Linked DNA regions of Astyanax mexicanus. The protein of the gene in region 1 interacts with the protein of each later gene in a biochemical or structural test. Links are inferred from orthologs where the notes say so. Each region holds a gene or a part of one and is shown on either strand. Other genes may lie near its edges. The genes, in order: racgap1 and ect2.

Region 1 (11,120 bases):
CACTTTCACATAAAGAGATCTCACCAGCTGTATTCTTACCAGTTTCAGTCCCTTTCAGAATGAGCCGTTGAAGGGCTCTGACACTTTCATGTAAATAAGCTATTGGTGTGTGGCATTAATGTGGCATTTGGCTCCACCCAAGATCGGTATCGGCGATCGGCCGATCGAGATGAAAGACAATCAGCGATCGAAATCAGCCCCAAAAACACTGAACACTCCATCTCTAGAGATCACTGGTTCAAATCCTGTTCGTGTAGCTCGCCATCGGCTGGCAGAGCAATGAGGGCTGGCAGAGCCCTGAGGGAGCTCTCTCTGGGTGGGTAGATGGCGCTCCAAAGGTGATGTTGATCAGCACAAGGCTACATCTGTGAGCTGATGTATCAGAACAGAGTCACTGCACTTTCATACGAGTTTGCTGTGATACTACTAAATAAGTTCATAATTGTGGCAAATTAAAAATATATTTCTGAGCTGATATCATTGAAAACACACACACAAAAGACACTTACCTCCTTCAGACCCTGCATCCATTGCAATGGACTTCAGGTATATGTAAGACTGTTTGAGAGCTGTTGTCCATCAGAATAGACCATGAACCAGCCAATGAAGTTTATAAACCAATTGAATAGTAACTTTGCCCCGGCCATTGCACTGGAAAAACAGTAGTGCCTAAGCTTAATTAATAGATGCTATTTTTACTAATTTAATCTAATTTAGAACACTTTTTATTCATGTTTTCTTTACTGTTTTGGGATAGTTTATAAAATAAAAAGGTCAGTATGAAATATAAAATATTACACACAGGCTCCCAATGCAATAGAAATATATAAAAAAAACTAGATTTATTTGCTATATAGATTTTATAGAAGAATATTAGAGTTTTTTATGGGCATTAAAAACAAAAAACAGCTTTCTTACATTTTTTTTCCGTTACTGGAGATAAGTCAGGTCTGAAAGGGTTAAAGGAGAGTATCAGCAGCTCTAAGGTAAACTCGAGAAGCTGCTCACAAGTGCTGGAACAAGGGAATTTAAACTGAACGAGCGTTTGTCTCTGATAATGATAAATGTGTTGTTTCTTCACCGTTCCAAACCTAATCACACCCCAAAGTCTGTTTAAATGCTGCCACTGTTGAACCAGATCGAGCTGGTGTTTATCAAGACCATTAAGACTAAGCACACTCATCTGTTCCCCACAGCCAATCCTCATCCATATTCCCCAGGAGACACTCTCACGATGTGGGCTCGCAAAACCGCTCTCCAGAGTGCCATTCACTGAGACACTAACATCTAATGAGTAGCTGATGTCTGAGTGTACCAGCAGATAATAAATACTTTAACACATTTTACTGAGATTCGCAAAACATGGCATCTATAAAAAGAGTACAATCTACACCTTTTTATTTAATTAGTGTGCTTGCAGTAGGCAATCACGTAATTAATCTTCTTAAGTTAAATCAAATTATGATTACAACCATTTTTGCTTTCTTATCTTATCAACTAAAACTTTATTTGATGCATCATATTAATGGCATGTAAATAGCATGTAAATAGCATTGTATATATATATAACCTATATGATACATTTATTTAGTTTCACATATTAGGTTATGTTTTTTTTTACTGTAAAATAGCTAGTTCACATTGCATTCTCAAATTAAACACTTATTGACCTTCTGAGAACTCTCCTCAGAGCTGCCAACTAGCCTATAATGTCTGGCAATAGTGTCTTTATGAAGACACCAGATGGAGCTGTTTTGTCCTAAAAGTTGTACTACTATTATATTGAGTATAAAGGATCTAACACAGATAAAAGTATCACAGTTGTGTATACTCAAATATCCACAATACATACTCAGAAAAGGTAGTTTTGTTGAAATGCTTAAAAACATGGCATTAATGGAAAGAGGGGAAAATATACCTTTTTTATTTAATCAGTGAGCTTGCAGTAGGAAATCATATTGATCATCATAAGCTTTATTCTTGTTTTTAATTATAATTTAATAAAAATATTATTACTACATCATTTTTTTCTCCTTAACTTGGTATAAACTGTATACAGCTGCTAGATGAGTGCAGTAGTATTCTTGCAATAAGCATCCAAACAAGCTATTGTGCCCCATAGGGATGCATTTCAAATTACTGCATTACAATTCCTTTTCTACAGGTCACATCTTTCGAATTAAAGACTCCAAGTACAAGAAAAAAGCACAGTGCTAATCTTTATTAATCACTAAAAATATATTATTCCTCATACGAATGAATGTCAAATGTTCAGCTCTCTCAAACCATTAGACAAAGGCATTAGCAGACAAAAATATTAACATTAAACATAGCAACACCTTAGCAACCACCGTAGAAAACAAATTTGCAACCAAGAACTACACTATAGGACAGAACTACATTATATCTGCTATGGGGAGACAAAATTTTATATTATTTAATATTTATTTAAAATTGTGTTCAGTGATATTACAGTAAGCTACTTTGTTCTGACAATCATAACTGATTATGTCAGTAAAAGGGGACATATTATATGTCTTTTTACACACGTTATAATATGTCTCTGGGCTATAAAAATGTTAATAAAGTTATTTGCACAAAATCACTCTCACATAACGAGATTTCACCAGCTTTATTCCTACCAGTTCCAGTCCCTTTCAGAATGAGCCATTTAAGGGCTCTGTCACTTTTATGCAAATAAGCTGTTGCTGGCTACATCATGTTTATGCTGAGCATTTATCACAATCAGTGTTACCTTGTGCTAAACAGTACATAGGTTTATATAGGATCTCCAGTGGATTTGACATTTTACAGAAACTCTAAGATTAGATCAATGGCTGAGCTGCACTTAAGCAGGGCATTACACTTGTTGTAAAGTAACATATGACATTTCAAAGACTGTTATTAGTGTAAAAATATCGTTATTTTAAAATGTTTCTAACTGTTGTCCATCTCACTGATGTCGCAGTGAGAGGCAATATGTTTGCATGTATGAATATTCATGAGAAATCCTATCGTTTCTCCCCGCCCACCGGACTAAAGCACCATTATACATGATCACCGGAGCAATCAATAATCATCAATCATCAAAAAATAGCTCACATGGCATTCATTCATTCAAGAAAGCACAATTAGATATTTTAAAATGAATGAAAAAACATTTTCATGACAACCTATTTCACCCTATTTAAACATGAATTCCTCAATTGTTTAAGCCACTGAAATATGACAAATATACTTTAATAACACATTCATTGTGATATTTTGACATTAAGTGCTCCCTTCCTGCCCAAATAACAAGTATAGCTTCTAATTTTTTTAAACATTGTACTCTGAAAAAGAGGAGCATGCATGTGCTGAAGTGAATACAGCTTGTTGCATCTTTTCTATGCATTTTATACACTTATACTTCCTGTCTTGTTTTATATTTTATTTTTCAATAAAAAAAGACTATACCTTAGCACCCACCTATTAACATCTTAGCAACCAGCACTTGTACCACAGCAACAGTGATGCTGAGCTGCAGTCACAGAGGCAGATACTCATTTACAGATACAGATGCAAGTGCCTAGTATGCAAGGCTGCACTTGTGAGAGTTGTTGCAGAGCAGATAAGAGACTGAGCTGGGGTATCTGTGCACAACCCCAGCTCAGTCTCTTATCTGCTCTGCAACAACTCTCACAAGTGCAGCCAGGATCATTGGTACTGATACACAGAGCAGCAGAAGCACAGGCAGCAGCACAGGCAACAGCACTGCTGGATATCCCAGGCTTTGTTTAGACAGTGGTGGGCTGGGGTCTCTGCAGGGTAATGGGATTAGAAGTATGAGGGGGGAAATGTGCACCATGCCCACGGACTGACTGCTCTCCATACAGATCCACGCTCAGCTATTAGCTGTAACCGCACTCTTATTTTCCTGCAGCTCCCGTTCACACAAAAGCCACAAGCACGCGCACACACACACACATACACACACACACACCGCTCAGCGTGCAGCATCTGCATTAGCCCAGCCCCCGGGCGATGGACAGATATAACAGACTTATAGAAACACATGCATGTAGTTTACCAGGTCAGTGGTCATGTTCTGCTGCGTGGTGGCGATCATGTTGGCAGAGGATGCTCGCGCCTGTGGCTCTTCTTCCCGCGAGGAGACCGACTACTCAACACGACCACCAGCAACCCCGCGCGCGCTATAATCACACCGGGATAAAGTTACCCATTTCTCTCCCTCTGACACACACCCTCTCTCTCTTTCTCTCTCTCTCTCACACACACACACACTCTCTCTCTCTCTCTCTCTCTCACTCCCTCTCACAGACACACGCACTCTCTCGCTCTCACTATTTCTCTCGCTCTCACTATCTCTCTCTCACACACACTATCTGTCACACACTCTCTCTCTTTAAAAAAACACACTCTTACTCTCTATCACACACACTATCTCTCACTACTATCTCTCTTACACGCTGTCACACTCTCTCACTTTCTCTCTTCAACATACACAATCTCTCTTACTCTCTCACACTATCTCTCTCACACACAGTATCTCTCACTCTCTCTCTCACACACACTATCTCTCACTCTTTTACACACTCTCACTCTCTGTTTCACAAACACACTATCTCTCTTTCTCTCTCACACACACTGTCTCTTACTCTCTCACACACTCTCTCTTACTCTCTCTCTCTCTTTCACAAACACACTATCTCTCTTACTCTCTCTCACACACTCTCTCTTACTCTCTCTCACACACACTCTATTTTTCTCTCACAAGCACACTATCTCTCTTACTCTCTCTCACACACTCTCTCTTACTCTTTCTCACACACACTCTATTTTTCTCTCACAAGCACACTATCTCTCTTACTCTCTCTCTCTCTCACACACACTGTCTCTCATTCTCTCTCTCACACTCTCCCTCAAACACACTCTCTCTTACTCTCTCTCACACACACACTGTCTCTCATTCTCTCTCTCACACTCTCCCTCAAACACACTATCTCTTATTTTCTTTCACTTACACACACACACACTATCCCTTTCACAAACACAGTATGTCTCTTTCACAAACACCGTCTCTCTTTCTCACACACCATCTTTCACAAACACACCTTCTATCTCTTACTCACACACAGTCACACACATCTCTTTTACAGACACACTACCTCTCTTACTCTCATTTCTGGACACCCTACACAACACACTCATTCCACCTGATCAGATTGCTGGCCCAGAGCAGCTCAGGCACGTTGTCATTTGGGACAAAGTAAGTATCCACCTGGCTGCTTTGGTTCATAACTGGTTCACTGCCCACACACTCTTGTCAGTTGTATATCTCCCCCCCATATTCTCCATTCCTCAATCCTATTGATGATTTTTTTCCCGCCTGGAGATGGAAAGTGTATGACCTAACTTCACAAACGGATATACCCCTTCTCCAAGCTATAGAATATGCATGTGGAGATATAGCAGTTGATGCATTGAATAGCTGGATTGCTTGTGATGTTGGTTAGATGCTGTGGCCAGACTAAAACAGAAGACAGGATGCAGCATAGTTTTTTTGTTTACTGTAATTTTATACAATAAACTCTTCTGTTGTTTTGTATGTAAATCACTGCATCTTTGTATTGGTTGCATTGTACATGTGTACATTTTGTTGGAAAAATAAAATTATTATTTTACTGTGTATTTGTCTGTTCTGAGTTAAAAAAAAAAAATTAATATTTTACAACGCACTTATGTGTTTACTGTCTGTATGTCATTATGATGAATGGAGAATGGTGTTTTACACTGAGCACGTCAGTGTTCAACTGCTTCTTTTAATTGTCTGTTCATATGATGGTTTCTGTGTGTCATCTGAACACAAAATAGCCTTTTGTGAAAATATAACACTGTTTTGAATGTAAAGTTTCATTTTGCAGGAGAATTGAAGGATTTTGCCCATTGTGTGCGTTTTTGTTGGATTTGTGTGTAGAGTTCTGAGAATATGAGGCATGTTTTCAGAAAATGTGTGTAAACAATCCAGAAAACTGTAAAAGTTTTTGATGGGGAGGTTCAGGTGAAGCTTTGGCAGCTGGTGTTGGGTTTTCTATTCTCTGCTGCCACCATCCGGCTCTTTCAGGCGAAGCCTCTCTGGGTTGAAAACGCAAGAGGAGAGAGACTAGCAGGGAGCTTAGTAAAACAGATTTATTGTGCTGCTGAAGTGGGCAATAAAACGTAGTGGGGAAATAAGGGGGAAAAGAAGGAAAAATATATTATAAGGACAAAATATAATAAACATTCCATACTGCATTTTGCTTTATGGAGGTTTATGCTCATATATAAGAAGATAAAAACAAATTAGATATTGTATGATATTTTTTCTTTACCTTACTTTATTTGTGGTTATTTTGATATTTTAGTTATTTTATTTAGTTCCTTTGTTTACATTTCAATATAGAATATACAATGCTAGTCAAAGTCAAGCCAGTCATTTTTTTAGCTAAAAATAGTAGAAAATAGTTGTACACAAACAAAAAGAAGTAAAGAAAACAGCATGCTTTATATTAATTTGGACTCACTCGAACTGAATTAAATTGAAAGAAAACGAGATATTATTATTAAAGAAAATACAAATAATATAATTTTAAGGGAAAAAAAATATAGACACACAAAGCTTCAGTTTTTTCATCACATGTGTTTGTTGAAAAAAAATCCATCATAGCTTTTTTAAAAATGTAGTAATTATTGAGTTATTTTATGATATAAGCTTAAAAATATTTTTATGTATTATTTAATAGTTCTTCCTTATAAATATAACTTTTACTCACAAAAAGAAAAGGATATGTAATATTTATACATAATGTTTTTTTTTTTTTTAATTCAAAATAACAAATGTTGTCTTTGGAGTTAAAAATAATTCAAAGTTTAATGAGACTCCGCCCCCCGCTCTGCCTCACTGTTCACGCCTGCGCAGCTTGGCGCTCATTGGCTAGCGGGTAAATTTGAAATGTAACTACACTCGCTGCTAATCCGTTAGCGCTGTGCTCAGACCGACCCAGCTCTGATGGGCAGGCAGCGATTTATAGTGTAATTCAGCGGGTTTTCCCAATTTCCTCCTGATTAATATCATCAGAACAGATCACAGCGAGAGGACACAGCGCAGAGGTGAGTATTTTACCGGGTTTTATCAGATTTTACCGCAATAATAGTTGTTATTGTTGTTCAACAGCACCGGGATTAACTGTAGTTACTGTGTGAATCTGTTTAAAATCACCGCACAACACAGAACCCGCTGCTAATTTATCGTTACAGGATTACCACATTAGCTGATATGTTTACTATATTTTCTTGAGCGTTACATTAACTAACTGCATTCCTTAGAACTAAGTTAGTTAGCTTAGCTAGCTAATGTGCGTTCACCTTGCTTTGGGGTTGACTTGTGCAAGTTACACAGTCGGTTAGCTTAGCTAGCTAACTAACGCTAGCTAGGTCAAGTTAACTAACGTTACTTAAGGTTATTTTGTAGGCATTTTAGCGAACTGTTTGTGATGTTAAAACTGTATAAAATGTCAACGTTAACTATCTAATGTTTGTATTATAACGTAGCTAAGGTCTGTTTATAGCGAGTTTAACGTTACTAGCTAACTTTACCAAGCTAGGTAACAATGTAAAGGCTGTTTTAACTTGTTGTTGTTACAACAGCGTTGTTGTTGTTAGAACAGAATTGTGGTGAGTTGTGCTAACTTGTGGGCTACTCTAGTGTATATTTAACTGTAAAAATACAAAACAAGCACCGTATTAGAGCATGTTCCCTGTATAAGTCTTTTATAATTATTGTATGTAACTTTTATTCACACTTTAGTGCAATGACAGTGAGTCCAAGTTGTTTAATGCACAAACAAAAAAAGCATTTATTATATATATATATATATATATATATATATATATATATATATATATATATATATATATAAATAAAACGAGAAATAATCAAAAGGTGTAGGTCAGCGCATGCGCAGTGCCTTTAGGAAGCACGTATCGATGGGTAGCATAACTCGACAGAACACCTGGCAAGATTCGGCTACCTATTTGTTAATTTTTAGTTTAATTGGATTAGCTTGGGCATACTAGTTATTTAGCGTGGTCAGCTTGATCATGCTGGCAGACACAACCAAAAATAAAGTGCTACATGTGACTAAGTTGGACAAGAGTTCAATGACTAACTCTTTCTTTTTTTGTATTTTATATTACATTGGGAGAACTCTGTACAAAGTTTCATACAACCTTTATATATATATATATATATATATATATATATATATATATATATATATATATATAATATATATATATATATATATATATATATAAATATAAATAATTGTTTAGGATTGTTGAACTTAATAATTTAACATCTTTGTCAGTTATTCAAAAAAAAAATATATACAGAGCCTTTGTAGAATCAGTTCTGTTTTTTTAATTTTTTATTATTCTTTGTAGAACATGGACACTGCTGTGATGAACCTTTTTGGCATTTTTGAAAATCTAAGAGCCCATGTTGACGTCCTCAGTGAAAGCATCGAGCCTCGTGAGTTGAATTACACTGTTTATTTTACACATAAATACAACCTGCCATGTGTGTATATGCAGCGGTATCATGGGAACAGTCTTCCTTACACTTACGCTTGTATTTATAGAGTTCATTCAGATGGCCCTGAACTTTGAGGACTGTCGGCGTAAATGGCTCCGAGTGGAGCAGGATTTCGCCTCGTGTAAGGAGGTGCTTGCCAAGGCGGAGACTGAGAGAGGGGCTCTGGAGGTCAAACTTAAACACGCTCGTAACCAAGTGGACGTGGAAATCCGGAGACGACAAAAAGCTGAAGCAGACTGCGAAAAGCTGGTATGTGACCTGGAGACATTGCACATACCAGACAGACAGAAATGCTGATTGACATTTGCCTTCCATTCATTCCACGAGTGCATAGGTTGCTTTATAAAGCTCAGTAACTGGTGAAGTAGGGCTTTCTTAGAGTAAACCCAGTAAATAATTTCTTTCTTTCTTTTTTGTTGTCCACAGGATCGTCAGATCCAGCTGATCCGAGATCTGCTGGTCACGGAGGGTTCTAGCAATAGCATCCAGCTGAATGATGAGCAACGCTCAGCCCTGGCTTTTCTTAATGCACGCTCTCAGACACCTGCTAATCTCAACAGCAGCCGAAGGTGAGGGAGAGAAAAATAATATCACTGTTTATTAATATGTCACACTCAAGCTTAGGAATAAGCTGCTAAAATATCTCTCTTTTTTAAATTGTAACATTAATTTTCTGTAGGTTGACCACCATTGATGAATCTGCCTCAATCCTATCAGACATCAGTTATGATAAAACTGATGATTCGTTGGTAATTAACTTTCTATTGACTTTAATTTTTGCTGTTTATTCCATAGAGTTAAACATATAAACATAATTTGATTTGTTGTTTTCTCAACAGGACTGGGACTCCTCTGTTGTCAGAACTGTTCGACTGAAGAAACGTCAGAAGAGAGTAAGCTGATGACTTGTGTATATTCATCTATAAAACCCAGTTCATGAAATTTGGACATTCCTTAAAGCAAATATGTGATTTTAAATAAATTATTATTATTATTTTTTTGTAGCGCTCCTCCCGAAACCACACTGAAGGTCCACCAGCTGCTGCCAAGCGGTCTCGATCCACTGGCCGCACTTCTGAAAAGGTAAAAGACCATATATGTATATGTAATGTTATAACGTCCATTTTCTCACTAAGAGTTCCCCAAAGAACTTTTAATTTCAACTTTAATGTAATTTCAGCTACAGCAGATGTTGGTTATACCATCTCATTTAGTATATGTTAAATTGGACCTTCTCCAAATATAAGGCAACAGTATTGCTTTTGCAGACATAGTTCAGACCCAGTCATTTTTTAAGTGTCATGATTTTATTATGCAGAGCCTGAAGGGTTACACTGAGGTCAAGGGTGATTTCACACCTGTAGTTGGGTTCTCTGCTCCAGATCAATTGAGGAATTTGTTTACTTGAAGCGTTTTCTACCTCTGTTTGGTTTGGTTTCACACAGGCACAAACCTAAATGTACCAGGATGTGCACCAATAAACCACGCAAGCACATTGTCTCCTTCAGGCTAATATATCAGATTAAACCGCACCTTATCAACAGTTTAGCTCAAATAAAAGCAGTGTATTTGATAGCTGGGTCAGATTGAGACTGGATCACGTTCTCACCACAAGCAAACTGCTCCAGACCAAGACCACCTCATTTAGCTAGTCTCAGTTTGGTTGTTTTGATCCTCTTCCGAGTGCAATTACTGTTTTAATACCTGCTCAATCGAACCGCACTAAGGGTACAAACAAACCAGAGTTCGTTTTAACCAAACCAAATAGTGATGGTGTAATAGAACAGGGTTCCATATTGTAAACTTTTAGATGTAAAGGGTTTAAAAAAAAAAAAAGACAATGGAAGCAGTTGTAAAGGTTCTGGCACACTGAATAATTATGTAAATATCTATAGGGGAATGAGTCTTTGGTGGCAAAGACTACTGTGACTGTGCCTAAAAATGGAGGACCTATAGAAGCTGTCACCACTGTTGAAGCTGTTCCTTATTGGACCAGGAGCAGGAGAAAGACTGGTAAGTTCCAGCTTTAGCTTATTCCAGTAGACTGTGCAAAATATAATTTTTTAAACGTCATTTCTGGATATATGAAGTGCATTAATAGTATTATTACATTTTGGACCATTGACTTCTGTTACATACGATATGCCACATTTTATGGTGAAAATTGCTGTATCTCATTGTATTCAAACAAAATGTAGCAATACCCTTAAATATCGTGTTATTATTTTAAAGTCATATCGCCAATCCCCACTCAACATATTACACTTTGCACTTACTGAATTTAAAAGCTTTTAAATTAGCAATATTTGAGTTAAGCTCTAAAGGGCGGAGAGTGAGCCTCCGTTACATGTTATTTAAAACTCATGGTTTGTACATAAATTGTCATTTTTTTAAATATGGAGCAGCTGTATGTCAGTTGTTCATACTCTGCATTGTTCCCTGTGTCTGTGAATCTGCCTTCATTTTGCTCTTGCTGTTTTATTTT
Region 2 (10,652 bases), on another chromosome or scaffold:
AAAGGTAAAGACTGGTTTATTAACAGAGCCGTAAACAGAATAACACAGCCAGAGAACAGATCGAACAGAACTCACAGTGTAAGCAGGAGACGTAGTACAGGAAACAGTCCAAGATCCGAAGCCAGAGAGACAGTCCGATAATACAACAAATCCGATAAGGGCAAATACAAAAGGCAAAATCCGTAATACAGAAAAAAGGGTCATAACAAAAGGGCAGACAGAAAAGGGTTTGGAAAAACGCTCAGTACGCAACATGAGTCGACAATACCTCGCAAAGAACATATGCTAACAGAACCCTATATATAAAAAACATAGAATTACTATGAACCGGAACAACTTAGAACACAGGAGAGTCTGAACGGAGGAGAGTAACACGATTGGGTGAAGGTGAGCGGCTGACGGTGACGTCATCGCCAGTGGGTATATGGGAAATGGAGTTCGGGAGTGTGAAAGGAGAGCCTAGAGACGTGACAAGTGCCAGATCTAAAATATAATTATGATGAGTACGATTATTCCCGCTCTCAGTTACATTTTCTTATTTTTCACAAGGGCACTTTCCTTGTAAAAAAGAAGTATACTTAAAAGTATATACTTTAAAAGTGGGTTTAAATCAAGTAAAGAATACTATAAGTGCATTTTCTATTAAAAGCGCATTCTTCCTCAGTTGTTTAAGTTGTTCACCGACGTGTGTTTCAAAACTTTTGAATCGGACACTTCTTATACATTGTAATATGCAGCCGGTGGATTGGCAAGTGTGAGAAATACCATGTGTGGCTTGTGAGCGTGTGAACTCGCTGAGGTATGTGTGTCACGCGCTCAAAGCATGAGATTTGAGAATATTGTTTGGATACAATTCTCTGACACTGGCCACTGAATATTCAACATGGCACCTCATAACAAATAACTTTCTGAGGATGTGAAAAATAGCATTGCTGTTTTACATAAAGATGGCCTAGGTTATGAGAAGATTGCTAACACTCTGAAACTAAGCTACAACACAGTGACAAATGTCATACAGCATGTTACTACAACGGGATCTACTTGGAACAGGCCTGGTCATGTCAGGGACATGGCAAAAGTCATGGAACATGATACTAAGTTCTGTTACATGTGGCATGTCTGTGTTTGGTCATATCAATGTGTAACCAAACAATATCTGTATATAAAGGCAATGTAAGTGCATCACATTGTAACGAATAGGAATGACATTTTTCACTCAAAAACTCATTTCAGAAAATTCTGATTTATACGAATACAAATGGACAATGCTACACTATTATACAGTTCTTATATCAAAACCCAAACAAAGCATGAGTCCATGTTCAAGCAATTAAAAAATAATCAGAAGCCAAAGTGTCCAAAATCCATAAAAATCAGACCAAATAATCGAAATCTCACGAAAACAAAAAGATAATTAAAAAATATCTTGAAAAAATACAGGGCACAGCAAAATAAGGAAAGCATTGGTCCTACCCAGTTTCACATACAATCCACAGGTCCAGGAACAGTTTGAAACAGCTTGAAGTATCTCTTCCTTAGAGGTTGAAAGATGTGGAGCAAACTTTTTTTTTCCTTATTAGCAATCCTACCCAAAAAAAATGTCCGACACCACCACTTCCTGTTACTAGTTTGTTTCACAATAAAAGTCATTTAGGTGAAAACAGGAAGCAAAGCCAAAAACTTATACATGGTGTGTAAATATCAGAAAAATATTAATATCAAAAAACCTTCCAGACTTTAAACGACTAGTTATGTTAGCCATGGTTAACCTAGGACTTTACATGTAACTCATATTAATGAACACTCAGTGTTACCTAATAGCCATTAGGAAATCACTGGTCTTAAAATCATTTTGGCAGCATCACAACTTTTCCCTTATAATCTCAGTTAAGCATTTTATCTCCAGTAGGGGTGTCAATATGGTGCTAAAAATAATATCATGATATTTATTGGTATTATGTGGTATTTTCGCAATAACAATACTCTTGGCAATATGAGAAAACACTGAATAATATATATAAATATATATAAAACATATGATATATATATATATATATATATATATATATATATATATATATATATATATATATATATATATATATATATGTATATATATATATATATAAACATATAAAACACATACGTATATATAGACAATATATGTATATATACGATATATATATACTATATATATATATATATATATATATATATATATATATATATATTTCAAGAATACACTACTGCAACAAAATGAAAATCTAATTGTATTAGTGCATACGATATAATATGCTACACCCCTAACTGAGATATAAAAAAAAAACACGGATTTTTATCAGATTTGTAACAGAAGTCAATTATCCAGAATGTCATGATACTAATAATAATGCACTCCAAATATCTCCATATTCCCAGGATTAAAGTAAAATAAATGATACTGGACAGATATAATCTATAGTCTCTAGTAGATATACCGGTATAATGGTAAATGAGAACAGAGTGATTTTTTCTTTTGCTAAAAACTGCAAAAAAAAGTAGTACACTGATGTGATAATTAGGGGTGGGTGATATGGCACAATATTTTAAGGGTATAATATTATAGTTCAAGATATTCAAAAAGGTTGGCGATATTATTGTGCACGATACAATATGGCACACCACTAATCTCCATTTCTTTCCTTCGAGCCATTTCTTGGTGGATATACTAGACGTTTTCAAGAGTCATTGTCATGTTGCATGGTCCACCTCCGCTTTAGCTTTAGTTTTAGTTTTAGTTTTTGGTGCAGACAGACAGAGAGAGTCTCACTTTTTTCTCAAGCCTCCGTTGATACAATAAAGACTTCACAGTGGCTCTATTATGGAGAATAACATATAATAAGATCACTTACCTTTACAGTAATTATTTTATATATTTCTTTAATATATATATTTCAAGAAAATAATAATAATATATATATATATATATATATTAAATTCTTTAATATATATAGTTTTTGTCTATGGATCTATTTTATTCAGTGATGAAGGGTTAGGATTAGGAATTGAGGAATCTCATTTTGTAAGTCACCCCATCTGTTAATAGCAGTGAAATCGCTCCTTGCTCTGAAAAGTGTCAGTTTAATTTCTTCTAATTTCGTTTCTTCCTGCCAAACTGTCAAACGGGAAGCAGAGAAAAAGACAGCTGAAAAAAGCACTTCTGTTTCTTTTCTTTTTTTTCTTTTTTTTTTGAATAAATCCAAGTTCATTTGGTCTTGATGATGTGAGGAATATAAAAGGTAGCACTAGCGGTACAGGTGAGGTTTTAGCGCAGCAGGTGAAATCCAACCTGCTGTTTAAAAATGCAGCAAAAACACTGTCTACTCTATGACAAATAGTATTTTACTACAGCGCTCCATTCCCTAAATAAATTCCGTTCGCTCAGGAGCTCTCTGAAATCTCAGAAAGACTACCTACTGTGACTTTGTGATAGACGTTCATCTTCTGCCACGCGACCGTTTAGTTCATGTCAGGTGGTCCACCTGGGGGAGACCGCTGGGTGCGCCTCTCAGAGAGTGACAGAAAGGAGAAGGTGGTAAAAGCAGGCTTCACCGGGCTTTGTTCTACAGAGGGGGGCTTTCAAGCTCCAGTGGGCCTATGAGGAGAGGCAGAAGGGGGGAGAGCACACAGTCGCAACAAAGGGCTGAATCTGCCACACAGTCACTCAGAGTCAGAGGCTAAAAAACAAAAAGAGAGAATCTCTCCAGTCCTCATCAGTGTGTCCTTCAGCCCGGGCACAGACACAGGTTTCTCAAGGCCCCTCTGAAGCCGGTCCCAGCAGCCTCAGCAGCCGCAGGAGCAGCCACCCCCCCTAACCACCGCCTGGGAGGAATTGGTTATGAGCCTCGGCCTCTGGAGCCGCCGCGCTGGTGAGCTGGAGCAGAACAAAGACACAGACTTTTGAAGAAGCTCTCATTTGAAAAAAAAAAAAAAAAAAAAAGGGCCAGTCTTCTTCTTTGTGAAATGATATGGGAGACAGGCGACATCTTCATTTTTCAGAGGCCTGTCATGTGGTATCTGTGTTGGCTTAATATTTAAGATGCGCAGAGCAGTGAAGTCCCAGCAGCAGCTTAATAAATATTTATTCTGTGAAGACTCAGACTTCAGACTTCCCAGCTTCACTTACTTACTTCTCCTCTGTAGTTCTTGGCTTCTTATAAACAGACAGGTGGATAGCCTGTGGTCAAGTCAACACATTTATGCAATTTAACATTAAGACAGTTGCTTAAAGAGCACCTTTATGTTAATGCTACTGTCTGCTTATATACAGTTATGTGCCTGGGCTGGCGCTAGCCATTTGAGTGCTCACCTTTTTCAATAATTTATTGGTGTAATTTGATAACAGTTTGATTAGTTGGTTTTATAGGACTTCACATTACTCCAAATTGCCACAATAATATCACTAGATACTTAAATCCTGAACAGTATCAAAAAGTCTCTTTAAAGATTTAATGGTGGGTTTGTTTGTTATATAAAACAGCTTGATTTTCTGGTTTTATACGACTCCAAAATCTGGTTTATTAAAAACCGAAAAGACATTTTTCCTAAGTTTGACTTTCCTTTACTTGAAAATGCTACAGTAACATAACTTGATACTTACTGTACATCAATAATAGTATGGAAATGGTTCTTCAATGATTTGCTGGTTTTATAGGACTCCAAAATCTGGTTTATGCAAAACCGAATGGACATTTTTTCTAGGTTTGCCTTCACATTAATCCAAATTGCTACAGTAATGTCAGTATATGTAAATGTCTCTTAAAGGATTTAATGACTTTATTTAATAAAAGTTTGATTTACTGGTTTTATAGGACTCCAAAATCTGGTTTGTGGAAAACCAAACACACATTTTTCCTAAGTTTGATACTTGATACTTAGTCACTCAATACTTACAGTACAACAATATTAGTATAGAAAGGGCTCTTCAATTAAATTTTTCCTCTTTTTTAAATGAACTAAAATGCCTGTCCTCAAAAAGCTAACCTAGTGTTTGTGATAAATTAAATTAAAAAAATAATTAGATAGTTTCTCAAAATATATTTAAATAATGAGATAGCATCTCAAAATAACGAGATAGTATCTCAAAATAACTAGATATTTTCTCAAAATGTCTTTAAATAAGGAGATATATTAAAATAATCTAAAAATATCGATTTGTTATCTTAAAAAAATAAATGATCATTTTAGAATAATGAGATAGAATCACAAAATAACGGCATAGTATCTCAAAATAATGAGATTTTGCCTCAAAAAAAAAAACTTTGTATCTTATAATAAAGTTACTTAGCTAATAATGATACATAAATATGTGCTGGATTAATGTTGTGAATTAGGTGTGAGGAATGAGCTTCTATACTAGTGAAGAGATGATTTAAAGCAAATCGGAATAAAATAATCTGAATAAAGTATAAACTGTTTTCTCAGTCAGCCCAGCGCACGCGCCCCGCCACTGCATCGCGGTTTGAATTTAACAGCCAATCCGGAGCCACTTCCGCCAACCTCATCCGCCTCAGCCAATCAGCGCGCGGCTCCTCGGTGCGGCTGTAGTTTTGAATTCAGAACGGGAGAGGATCTGCTGGAGGAGCACAAAGCTTGAAAATGGATTTAATGTTTACACTTGTTTCCTAGCGTTTCTCAGCCCACGCGCTCTGTCACACCCGTGTCCGGCGGTGTGGTTTATTTTATACGGGTTATCGCTCGGTTTTTGGGGCGGTTTGTTGTGTGTTGGGTAGTTTAACAGTGGGAAAGGGAGGCTGCGGGGAACTCTGTGTAGCTGCTAGCCGGCCTCCTGCTGCTGCTGCTCAGCCAGGCAGCTCAACTCTCAGCTCCAGCAGACCTTTCAGCACTGTCCCCGGGCCCGACCTGACTCTTGCTGACCCCGGGTAAGTCTTCTTATCTCTGCTTCCTCTCTCTAAACACATTTATTAACTTTAACCACTGCTTTTTGCTTTATTTTTAAGGTTTTTCTTAGTAGCAGTGCTTCCAGTAGCCCCCCACCTTTAGCTAGGCTAGCTAACTAGCAGACAGCTGTCACTGTTTAAACACAGCAGCTAAGTAGCTAAACTAACTAGCTATTTTTAATAAAACTACATCATTTTAACCTTTATGTTATTGTCAAATGTATGTACACCCTTTTATTCTTGGAGGAAATCGGCCTTGGGCTCATCAGAACTTTAAACTTTAAGAAACTTGACCTAATATAGCTAAATAAACATGTTACCCTACCCAACACAGGTTTGTTAACTGGTTAATTAGCTAAGTTAGTTAGTTAGTGTTAACCTTGTTAACAACTTTAAATTATTTTTATTTTATGTGTTAGTCCACAAAAGGAAGATAATAAGAGACCACTTAATGATGTTTTTCCTTGATCTTGCAAAATTGAAAACCTCTGGAATATAATCAAGAGGAAGATGGATGATCACAAGCCATCAAACCACCAAACTGAACTGCTTGAATTTTTGAACCAGGAGTAAAGCAGCATAAAGTTATCCAAAAGCAGTGTGTAAGACTGGTGGAAAAGAACATGATGCCTAGTTGCATGAAAACTGTGATTAATAACCAGAGTTATTCCACCAAATATTGATTTCTGAACTCTTAAAACCTTATGAATATGAACGTGTTTTCTTTGCATTATTTGAGGTTTCATTTTTTGCTAATAAAAGGTCTGTGTGTATGTACTGTATATTAGTTGCTGTCCAATGAAAAACAAGTATTTACATTTTGTTAATTTTTTAGTTTACTACATAACTTAAACAGACAAACTGTCCCTTTACACTATCAACATTTCTTTATGAACGGACAAATAGAAAAATTTCAGCATGACCTGAAACAAACTCTTTTTACATCGACTTCCATTGAAAATTTAGAAGTTTTTTTCTCTCTTACAAAGTTGCTGTTTTGGAGATACTTTTTTTTTTCAATGCATAGCAACTATTTGTAGCATTCCTAAACTGTTTCCAGTTGCTTCCAGACAAACTTTGGATAACTCTTCTTTTCTCTACCTTTTTACCTACTATTTTACTAGCTTGAATAGATTTATTAAGTTTGCCAAGAGTGTTAGCTAGCTTAGTTAGCTACTTAAGGCTAGCTAGTTAGTTAGATTAGTTAACTAACCTAGATGGGTATAGGGATGTTTAATAGTAGGTTAACTTTTTTTGACTTTAATTATGTTCCAATGATTAAAAAATATGAGAAATGCTGTTTTCCAAAAAAAAAAAAAAAAAAAAAAAAAATATATATATATATATTAATGTTATGTTTAACTTGTTGCCCTTATTACATATAATACACAACATTATGTTGATTTCTTTTTCAGAAATGTTAAAACAGTGAATAGGCACAGAATTTTCCCAAATATAAAAGGAAGATTAACATAATGTTCCAGTGAGTTTGAGTGCAGCAGTTTTACAGTAAGTAGGGTGTAATTTTCTCTAATGTCATTTGTTGGATATTATTATTATGGACACTATGAAAGCAGGCACTACAAAAAAACAAAAAAAAACCCATAATTTTCCTTTATTCTGGGCATGACTTCAATCTCCAATATTGGAAATAATAGAACTTTACTGCTAATTAGAATAAATTGTCCCATTATAACTGAAGCACATACAACACAACGAGTCTAAATATAGCTACACATAGGAAAAAAGTTTTATACTATAAAAGTTAAGTTTCCTTTTTTTTTTTGAGGGTCATTGTTTGCAGTTTGCTGAACATAGAGTTCACGACTTTCTCTTCTCCCTTTTTGATGTAACTGTTAATTTTCTTTTGGACAGGATTGGGTCACAGCACCATGGCTGACAGCAGCATAGTGACTTTGGGCATGGCCCGTAGCCTGCTGGTGGACTCGTCTGTGTACGACTCCAGAATGGCAGAGACCTCTAAGGAGCACACCTTCCTGGGGCTGGCTCCTGATGAAGCAGAGGGTAAGTGAGGTCTCCACTGGAGTAATATATCAAATAAGATTTGAATTATTTCTTTATTTTAGTTTAACATGCTTCTGTCACTTTATTCTAAATTGAACAGAGGAGCCCAGATTTCCATTTTTGTTTGACGTATGACAGTATATGTATTTCCTGGGAGACTTGCCTTGATTCTTGTCTTATTCTTATTCTTTCAGAAATCCTTCGCCGAGTGGAGACTAGAGTAGTGCTGGTGGGAGAAACAGGCCACGATCCTGAACTTGTAAAGGCATTGGAGGTAAAGTGGGATTGATTGCAATTTACTGTCGATAAGGAAAAATCATATTATGCCTGTACTGTATTTAACACATAGTGACATTATGCAAGATTAGCCACAGTGATACATTTTTGTTATTTTAATTTTTAGTTATATTTATATATATTTTTTTGTGTAATGGCACTCAGTAATGATTACTGGTAGAAATCACAGGGCATGGATATTATGACTATACACTGCCCACAATTATATCACAATACTATGATTCTGCGATATATATCGCACGACAATCATCTACGATACTTTCACAAAATTTGACCAGTATTAAATTATTATGAAACATTGTACAAATAACGTGCATTGCTTAGCTTGCAAAGTACATGCAATGACGACAACTCTTCAAAGTGTTATTATTTTTACAGTGTTGTAAAATAGCCATAAACTGCAATAAATGTAGTGTCTGTATAGAACACTTAAAAAACTACGCTACACTAAAACCATTTAAATAAGACATATTATGCCTAACTTACCTTTTTGCATTCCTTTGTATTTTTATTTGGGTCAAGATAAAAAAAATCCCTTCCTGTTTTCTGTGAATCAGCTGAAAGAGATTGGTGTCAGGAATCATATGCTTCTATGAGCCGTTTGTATAGCTGACGTCACAATAAGGAACCCTGCATAGAACCACTCTGGCACCACCCCTCACCCGTCAACCCCAACAGACCAGTTAAAGATGTACAATTTTGCTTATTTTGGTTGAGAACCTCAGACAGTACACAGTGGAATTAGCCAGCAGACTTCACCTGTAGGAGGGATCTGTACCTACTGTTCGTGGCAACTCAGCAGATAATTGAGTTTTGTGCTTCTGTCACAGTTAAGCTAAACTAGCTTGTTCATGTTTTCCTATTTAGCACAAGCTAACACTCACGTGTGGTAAACTTACCACATAGCTATAAGCTATAAACAGCTTATTTGCATAAAAGTGATAGAGCCCTTAAATGATTCATTCTGAAACTGGGACTGATGCTGGTGAGCTCTGTTTATGTGAGTGATTTTATGTGAGTCTTGGGGAGTTTAGAGCTATGTTTCAATAACAATATCAGTATCAGACACCACATATTGATACAACACAATCAAAACGTAGTGATTCTTAATTGGAAATAAAAAACAGCCAGTTGTTTCTGTTGTGATGATGCATTTTAGTGTAATTTGGTGTTTATAGAGAAAAATCTGCATTCTGTTGCCTGCGGAGCTCATAGATAAGCAGTTAGTAAAAATCTCCTGCCTTTAGGGAATTTTTTGACTGGACTGTGATTGGGCTGATAGATGTGTGTACTGATAAGAGCAGGCAGCACTTCCTGTTTTCCTGAGGAAATGCTTTGACTGTCTAAAACTATCCGCTAATGTGATTTGTCTATGTCAGCAGAACAAAGACGAATTTCAATTAATAGCATTTTCTGTTTACCCGTATACAGACGGGTTTATCTTCTTGTGTTTGATAAATATTGTTAGTATCTGATAGGTTGGATTCATCTAATGAGTGAATGTGTGCAGAACCAGTTTATTTAACAGCTGTCAACAGATTAAGACTTCTGAGCAAAACAATGTATTTAATTTTCCAGTTCATGTAAAGGCTTGCTTGTTTCATTAGTACACGACTTTTACCTTTGGTTGTGATTTTATATATTTGGCTGTTTTCCCTCCTCATGAAAAATGTAGTGTTTTACTAGTGTTTTAGTACCTGTGTGAATTTTTAGTTCTTTTTAAAGTTAACCCCTTAACAGGCCAGCATTTTTGTCTATTTTATGCCTGATATTCCGTGCCTACACCTTTTATTTATTTAAGCTATTTATTTTTATTTAGGGATTAGATAAACAGGTTTCATCTTTCATAAGAAACATTACTGAAAATCTTAATTATTATTGTAACAGTAAATATTTTAAATAAATATAAAGATTTTTCTCAGAATCCTTTTATAAATCCGTTTATAAATTAGGGTTAATCTACTGTTACAGTAAATGAATAAATGACCAGACTAAGCATTTGCGGTTGTACTGCTTTGTAATTGGGGTGTGACGAGAACTCATGGCACGAGATTAAAAAGTGATGATATTTCTCGTCAAGCTTAAACCTGTCTCGCGGGAAAAAAATAACAGTTTAGTGTGGGTTTTTTAAGAGGGATCTGGCAACACAGTAGTGATGGCAGCATGTGTGGTGGCTGAGCAGTGAGAGCAGCTCTCAGCAGAAGAGGAAAATTCAGGTATTTGTATAGAAGATGCTTCTGCTACTTTTAAGTTGTATGTCTGGCTGCATTTTGGCTCCAGTGGAAACAATAAACGGTAACAGAGTGACCAACAAGACACAAACCATATATAAATACTGTAAGTAAATCCTACACGTGACTGTTCCATAGGCAGGTGTACTAATCCCTTAGC

The links.
Region 2: the proteins of racgap1 (region 1) and ect2 form a complex in vitro, tested with the Homo sapiens proteins (3 studies listed by BioGRID and IntAct, with this or other methods). The link is inferred for Astyanax mexicanus from reciprocal best matches to the Homo sapiens genes RACGAP1 and ECT2.

Annotation. Positions count from the first base shown.
Region 1 is NC_064420.1:6,131,735-6,142,854, reverse strand, and holds the start of racgap1 (rac GTPase-activating protein 1), read left to right. Parts: upstream 1-6,989; 5' UTR 6,990-7,149; intron 7,150-8,484; 5' UTR 8,485-8,487; coding exon 8,488-8,572; intron 8,573-8,681; coding exon 8,682-8,884; intron 8,885-9,061; coding exon 9,062-9,204; intron 9,205-9,314; coding exon 9,315-9,384; intron 9,385-9,474; coding exon 9,475-9,528; intron 9,529-9,640; coding exon 9,641-9,718; intron 9,719-10,530; coding exon 10,531-10,648; intron 10,649-11,120. Other genes in the region: inactive dipeptidyl peptidase 10, read right to left, coding at 4,070-4,108.
Region 2 is NC_064423.1:4,511,295-4,521,946, reverse strand, and holds the start of ect2 (protein ECT2), read left to right. Parts: upstream 1-5,577; 5' UTR 5,578-5,921; intron 5,922-7,814; 5' UTR 7,815-7,831; coding exon 7,832-7,964; intron 7,965-8,158; coding exon 8,159-8,238; intron 8,239-10,652. UniProt on the Homo sapiens protein: Guanine nucleotide exchange factor (GEF) that catalyzes the exchange of GDP for GTP. Promotes guanine nucleotide exchange on the Rho family members of small GTPases, like RHOA, RHOC, RAC1 and CDC42.